Arabidopsis thaliana: one gene and its partner. The protein of the gene in region 1 interacts with the protein of each later gene in a pairwise test. Each region holds a gene or a part of one and is shown on either strand. Other genes may lie near its edges.

The links.
Region 2: the proteins of NHX8 (region 1) and ABCB23 interact in a protein complementation assay, tested with the Arabidopsis thaliana proteins (one large-scale study listed by BioGRID).

What each region holds. Positions count from the first base shown.
Region 1 is NC_003070.9:5,034,837-5,038,764, reverse strand, and holds the start of NHX8 (Na+/H+ exchanger 8), read left to right. Parts: upstream 1-2,154; 5' UTR 2,155-2,325; coding exon 2,326-2,545; intron 2,546-2,641; coding exon 2,642-2,692; intron 2,693-2,760; coding exon 2,761-2,852; intron 2,853-2,927; coding exon 2,928-3,005; intron 3,006-3,090; coding exon 3,091-3,248; intron 3,249-3,330; coding exon 3,331-3,432; intron 3,433-3,511; coding exon 3,512-3,629; intron 3,630-3,714; coding exon 3,715-3,767; intron 3,768-3,843; coding exon 3,844-3,909; intron 3,910-3,928. Other genes in the region: AT1G14670 (Endomembrane protein 70 protein family), read right to left, coding at 1-516, 625-665, 945-1,096. UniProt on the Arabidopsis thaliana protein: May act in low affinity electroneutral exchange of protons for cations such as Na(+) or K(+) across membranes. May also exchange Li(+) and Cs(+) with a lower affinity.
Region 2 is NC_003075.7:14,139,166-14,143,093, reverse strand, and holds the start of ABCB23 (ABC transporter of the mitochondrion 1), read left to right. Parts: upstream 1-2,039; 5' UTR 2,040-2,198; coding exon 2,199-3,758; intron 3,759-3,928. Other genes in the region: IAA11 (indole-3-acetic acid inducible 11), read right to left, coding at 1-92, 547-806. UniProt on the Arabidopsis thaliana protein: Performs an essential function in the generation of cytoplasmic iron-sulfur proteins by mediating export of Fe/S cluster precursors synthesized by NFS1 and other mitochondrial proteins.

The DNA of each region.
Region 1 (3,928 bases):
CACAGGAGTTAATAATGGAGAACCAGTGGATTTCCAAATGATGTGGAAGAGAAGAAGACATAGAGTACTTCTCCATTCTTTTCTCAAAAGGAGTCTCAGTTTCCTTCCACTTCACAGTGTACATAAACTCTGCATCAACTTCCTTATCCTCAGTGAGATCCACAAGCGAATGAGGATCCATTCTAGCACTGATCTCGATCACACGGTCCTTATTGTATAGAATCTCAAACTGAATGTGCTTGTACAAGAAATATTTGAATTCACTCGGATCAGATTTGATATCCTTGTCAACCTTTCCAATGAATCCCCAGATAGGTAGATCATCATAGTACATCTGGAAGTAGTAGTCCTTCTCAACAGCTTTTCTGAACTGTTTGACCTCTTCTTTACTCAACTTCTTGTTGCAGTATACCTCAGACTCTTTTTCATCTCTGAAGTTGAGCTTGTATGGAGCGCTAACTAGCCGATCCCCGTTTAGAACCTCGCCAAGAGCTTCCTTCTTCTCTTTCACACCCTCTATAAACCATATTCAATAATGGGATGATCGAATCAGGAGATGTCACACAAATCAGTTGCGGCTTAAACACAAATCGTGTGATTAAGCTAGTAAAGATATAAGCATACCTGGGATACAGAAGGGAAGATCAAAATATCGATACGTCTCACTGCAATCATCATTGAACAAAACCAAAATCAGTCATATAATAGTATTCAAATCTAAGACAGATCCATCACATAAACGAAAAACATTCCAAATGTAGTTTCTTCTTTCACTCTTTGGTTTTAACATTACGCATTTTGCAGTGTACTCAGTTATCAATGTCGTTACTCAATTCAATAGCAACAGATTCAACAATAAACGATCAATTTATCATCCTCAGGCTTAAGAATGGGAAACAACCTCAGATCTGAAGCTCAGATCTAGAATAGATGTTTCCGTTTACCTTGGATTGTGAAATGGGCCGACCTTGTTGGCGTAGAGAGGAACGGTGTCTCCTTCCTTGTAACGGTGGTCGGAGGCGTCGGATCTGACATAGCCGGCGCCGGAGAAGAGGATAGCTCCGACAAGAAGGAGAATCGTCGTCGGTGTCCTCATTGCGTATTCTGCTCAAATCGTGAGATCTGAGTAACTTTTTTTATTTGGGAGAAGAGGGAGAAAAATGGAGGAAATAACGACAATATTTATATACCAAAGACTTCAATCAAACTCGAGTCAGCTACACAAATTTTAATATTTTTATTATTTTCTCACTTTATTTCATAAGAAAAATACATAAAAAAACTATAGTCAATAATACTTTATACCATTTCCAACCATAAAAATAAATATCAATGTCTATAAATTCATAAATATATGGCTTTTGAAACCAAGACTAATTATTTATAACAAATGTGAGTGGCATTTAACAAAATACAAATCATTTTCCCATATGTAGGCTAATTAAACCAAAAAAAGAATATGTAGGCAGTGAGCGAACTAATTGTTCTGCCAAACCTATGTATCTTATAGTGTTTTTTTTCCTTGGGTCGAAAATCTTATCGTATTAACACTTCATAAATTTTGAATAGTTAAATTATTACTTCTTTGTATTAGATGTGGAGTGGAGTGACTATTTTTTTAATATCTTTTGTGGTTATAGTATAGTGAATATGAAGAATGACGAATGATGTTACACGAGACCAAGTTTTTGAAAAAAAAAATATATGAATCTGATAATCATTTTTCCTTTACGTGCGTTATCGTACGTAATTGCTTTGCATGATCTCACGTCATGACAGCAATTATAGAAACTAAACAATTTAAAATTCTCATTTATACACAACGTGCATCGTTTTGAGGCATGGATAATTTAAGGTTTTCGATTTATAGATTGAATCAGCAAGAAATTACAATGTAGCCACTTATACCAAAAATAAAATCAAACAATTTGAACAAGATACATTGAAGTATGGATCAAAACAAACAAACAAAAGTGACACTAGTTAAGTTTAGAGACTAGAGTGAGTCGGTTTTGTTATTTCATAATTTGGTTCATGTAAATATATGTACCCTTCATTTGAACAGAGTAGTATAATCCAGTAACTACATTCATATCTAGCAAAGAAAACAGAAACCTAATCAAAAACGTATTAAGATTTCTCAAATTTTCGTTCAAATTAGTGATAGAAAACCAGACGTAACCGAAATAAAACAGGTCAAGCCAAACCAGACTAGATTCAATCTTGGTTCACTCTTAAACGAAGCAGATTCGGTTCGGTAAAAGCATCTTTGACCGTAATCACTGGCAAAACGAAAGATTGATCGTTTGCTTCTTTCTACCGGAGATGACGAGTATAATCGGCGCGGCGTTGCCGTACAAATCACCGGAGAAAGCAATTGCATCTTCTTCGTATTCAGCTGAGAACGATTCGAGTCCTGTTGATGCTGTTATTTTCGCGGGAACTTCGCTGGTTCTCGGCACCGCTTGTAGATATTTGTTTAACGGCACTAGAGTTCCGTACACCGTCGTTCTTCTCGTCATCGGCATTTTTCTCGGATCCCTAGGTCTTATTTGTTTGCTCATTAAGCTTTATAGCTCAGTTTCAATTTCGTGGAAGATTTTAGAAAGTAGTTAAATTTTGGATTTTTTTGCTTCTGTAGAATATGGAACTAAGCATAACCTTGGGAAGCTCGGCCATGGAATTCGTATCTGTAAGCTACTGTATTTTCTCTTCTCCATACTGTTAGATTACGAGCTCTAAAAAATGGCAACTTTACAGGGAATGGTATCAACCCTGACCTACTTTTGGCTGTTTTTCTCCCTGTTCTTCTTTTCGAGAGCTCATTCTCCATGGATGTGCACCAGATCAAGGTTTTTACTTTCCTGATTGAGCTACTTCCTTGGCTGTGTTGGTTCCTGGTATTGATTGTTTTACATCATTGGTAGAGATGTATGGGACAAATGGTTCTGCTTGCTGGACCTGGAGTTCTGATTTCCACCTTTTGTCTCGGAGCTCTTATAAAGGTACTTTAACTAGCTTCAACATTTTCGACTGTGATTAAGTGAGCTTCAATTAACTTAACAATTTTTTCGAGTTATGCTCTTGTAGCTTACTTTTCCATATAACTGGGACTGGAAAACATCATTGTTGCTTGGAGGACTTTTAGGAGCTACCGACCCCGTGGCTGTTGTTGCTTTGCTAAAGGAGCTTGGTGCTAGTAAGAAGATGACCACGTTAATTGATGGGGAATCTCTCATGAACGATGGGTAACCATGTCAAACTCTTATGTTTAGCATCAAGGTGATGTTATGTCATATATGATCAAGCTTAGTTGTTTGGATTATTCAGGGTATCGGTTGTGGTTTTTCAATTATTCTTCAAGATGGTGATGGGGCATAACTCTGATTGGGGTTCCATAATCAAATTTCTTGTCCAAAACTCATTCGGAGCGTATGGATTATTTTCCTTTGTTAGTAGTATTGTATGTCGCTGTCTTCTTTTCTCCGCTTATGTTGTTCTGGTTTTTTAGTGTAGGCATTGGTCTAGCTTTTGGAATTGCATCAGTTTTTTGGCTTAAATTCATATTCAATGACACGGTGGCTCAGATCACTGTAACACTTTCAGCGAGCTATTTCGCCTATTACACTGTATGCTCTTCTCTTCTACATAACTTAGTCCCCAATGGAGAATCTTAAATCTCTAGGAAACCTAAGAAATTTCTACTATGTACAGGCTCAAGAGTGGGCTGGGGTTTCTGGAATTTTGACTGTCATGATTTTGGGGATGTAAGTCGTGGTAAATTATCCCTTCTTTCTGTTGTTATGTGTCAAAAAGCCATTGTTCATAACATAATTGTAATAGGTTTTTCGCTGCATTTGCAAGGACAGCTTTTAAGGGGGACAGTCACCAGAGTCTGCATCACTTCTGGTATTTCACAACTCAGTGT
Region 2 (3,928 bases), on another chromosome or scaffold:
CCAAGTTCGGATCTTCAGTGGCTGAAGCCTTAGCTTGGTTAACCATACTGTTCATTCTGTAAGTCCTTATTGGTGGCCATCCCACAACTTGCCTGCCATTTTCAAAGGTTTCAAATTGCTCAAATAAGAGTAAACACATAAAAAGGGTTATAAACACTTCAGGGCCTTGTAAAATCAGATACCAAGAGAATCACTATACAGGATTAATCACTTTCTCTCCAAAGCTAATAAATACTTTAGAATCCAAGAAGAAAAAAACTGTCATCTCTAGAAAACGATAGTAAGATTCAATTTGAAGATATAATGACCAAAGCAAACTATCTAATGATCAGGAAGATACATTCAAAGTCATCTATACGTAACAAAGGTCGAATCTTTTCAGATAACTGTGATCAAGGACATTCTGTCTAATCAATCCCATAACCATAAAAAGCAAAAATCAAATCTTTATTTATAGTTCTATTGATAATCATGATATTAAGAATCCCCAAATAAACCATAATTGATCAAAATGTAAAAGAGGAAAGGGAAGAGAATTTCACTCACCCACTAGTTGCAGCCATGGAATCAGCTGTCCTCTTGATCCCAGCAATTACGCTAGCTCTGCTCAGAGAAGAAGATGATGAAGAAGAAGAAGAATCATCAGCGTAAACCCTACAATCTCGATACCCTTTGCGACCAAGGCTCAACGTAAGACCAAGCTCAAGCTCATTCCCTATAGGAGAAGAAGAATCCTCACAAGAAACGACGAGATTTTCATCGTTTGACAAAGCCGAAGCCGATCCACTAGCGGAACCGCCTTCCATTTTCGACAAAACCAGAAGCTGAGAATTAAGATTTTGATTGTGAGGGAAGGGAGGAAAAAGAGATGGGTTGAATTTGAAGCAAAGATTGAGACTTTAAGTAAGGCAGAAACAGTGAGAAAGAAAAAGGGAAACAAAGGATGAACAAGAAGACACGACGGGTGGGATTTGTCTCTTTTTCACTTCCCTAACTTTTAGTCTTATTTCTCGCCCAATTTTATCATTTTTTTGATCCAATAATAAATTTCTCACATTATTCCGTGACTATATTTACTAGAAACTCTTTTTTTTTCCTTCTTTTAACAATATCCACTTATGTAAGTTTTTAAAATAAAATATGTGGACTTTTGGTATAATTATTTCAATTTTTCGTAAGTTTATATAGGGAAGTTTTACAATTATGCGAAATTCCGTTGTAATATATTTATAAACTTATAATCAATTAACGATAGGATTAGATGCCAAAAAATATAATGGACAACATGATTTTTCAAAATGTATATTATTGTATTAATGTTCAGATTTTTGTAGTTGGTATTTGACTCCAAAATCTGATATAAGATCGGATAGATTTCAAAGAAAATTTGATATCAAAACGGTAGTATCCGTGGTATTAATAAAAACATTTTTAAAAGGCTGGAAAATAAAATAAAAACAAAATTCATACAAATATATATTTTCAAGAAGTGGGGGCTCACATGTCAGCTTCATGGGATTCAATCGGACGGCTAGAAAAAGATTACTTAGAAGGCTTAGTGGGACCCACGTGTACAGAGAGGGGGGACTCGTGCCCACACGTCCTTTGGTCCATCCATCTTTCCAAATCGGACGGTGCTGATTAGTTCCGGTTTAAAGCTATTGATAGTTAGATACCATCACTATATAGGTTTAATTAGTATTTTAAAATCAAGTGGCAATCTAATCTTTAATCACGTAATTAAAATTGAATTTTTAAGGCAATAAAGGAGTTTAGCTGTCCATTTTTAGTGGTGTCCGAATAAAAACCCTGTCGTCTGGAGGGAAGACATAACCGACCGTTGCTTCTTTTCACTTTCCAAATAAACCGTTCAATTTTTTAATTAATTGCATATAGTAGAAGAGTTGAATTTTCGAAAGAGTCCATGTGAGAGAATGAATACTCTGAGATTCGCTGCGGTGTGTACCACCGTATCTGATTCTCTCAAGCCCAGTTGCAATCAAACCAGTACCGGTTATCTCCGAGATAGCTAATTTCATTATCTTAATAAAAACAGAAAACCAAAACCGGTTATTTCCGAGTTGATATCTTCTTCCTCGTCTTCTTGTTAAGCTACTCTGTAGTACAGAGAGAACAAAACAGAGAATTAAAGAATCGATTTAGACCAAATTGTATGTGATTCGTTCGGACAAGAAGCGATGATGAGGGGATCTCGGTTTCTCCTCTCTCGCGCTTCTCTGTATCACCGTCTTCGCTCTGATCATCACCATCACAGTTTCTCCAGTTTTATCAAACGTAGCTCAATTCAGAGATCACCAGCTATCAATGCATTCTTCACCGATCCATCTCCATCTCCATCTCCAGTCAACGCACGAGTCTTCTTCTTCTCAACTTCAACTTCAACTCCAAATCAAGATCAAACCAAAACAGCATCATCTAAGAAGATCCTCCGCACGATTTCAAGCTATCTATGGATGAAAGACAACCCAGAACTCCGATTCAGAGTCATCGCTGCTTTAGCGTGTCTCATAGGAGCTAAGTTCTTGAATGTTCAAGTTCCTTTCCTCTTCAAATTATCTATCGATTTACTCTCTTCATATTCATCTTCAACAATCACTGATTCAAATCCTTATCTACTTGCTGCTTTCGCTACTCCTTCTTCCGTTCTCATTGGCTATGGCATTGCTCGATCTGGATCTTCAGCTTTTAACGAGCTTCGTACTGCTGTTTTCTCCAAAGTATCTCTCCGCACAATACGATCTGTTTCTCGTAAAGTGCTCTCGCATTTACATGATCTTGATCTTCGTTACCATTTGAATCGAGAAACAGGAGCTTTGAATAGAATCATTGACCGTGGAAGTCGCGCGATTAACACGATCCTCTCTGCTATGGTTTTCAATGTTGTTCCAACGATCTTGGAGATATCAATGGTCACAGGTATATTAGCATACAATTTTGGACCTGTTTTTGCTTTGATCACTTCTCTTTCCGTTGGATCATACATAGCTTTCACATTGGTTGTGACACAGTATAGAACTAAGTTTAGAAAAGCTATGAACCAAGCTGATAATGATGCAAGCACAAGAGCTATTGATTCTCTTGTAAACTACGAGACTGTTAAGTATTTTAACAACGAAGATTACGAAGCGAGAAAGTACGATGATTTACTCGGAAGATATGAAGATGCTGCATTGCAAACTCAGAAGAGTCTTGCGTTTTTAGATTTTGGACAGAGTTTTATATTTAGTACAGCTTTGTCAACATCAATGGTGTTGTGTTCTCAAGGGATTATGAATGGAGAGATGACAGTTGGTGATTTGGTGATGGTGAATGGTCTTCTCTTTCAATTGTCTCTTCCTCTTTACTTTCTCGGTGGTGTTTACCGTGAAACCGTTCAGGGTCTTGTTGATATGAAATCATTGTTCCAGTTGCTAGAGGAGAGATCCGATATTGGAGATAAAGATACAGAGACAAAGCTACCTCCTCTTGTTCTGAGAGGTGGAAGCATCAGTTTTGAGAATGTACATTTTAGTTATCTGCCAGAGAGAAAGATTTTGGATGGGATTTCATTTGAGGTACCGGCAGGGAAAAGTGTAGCGATTGTTGGTAGTAGCGGAAGCGGCAAATCGACGATTCTTAGAATGATTTTCAGGTTCTTTGACACAGATTCTGGTAATGTTAGGATTGATGGTCAAGATATAAAGGAAGTGACACTAGAGAGTCTTCGAAGCTGCATTGGAGTTGTCCCTCAAGATACTGTAAGTTGCCATTTTGACTAGAATTGTTCTCTTACATTTTGTTGTTATTAGTCTAAACCGTGACAAATTAGGTAAAATGTTAGTTATCTACTTAGGGCTTATTGGAAAAATCTATTTAGGGTATTTTAAACTTTTTTGTTATTCAGTCACAATTTCTACATAAATCACAT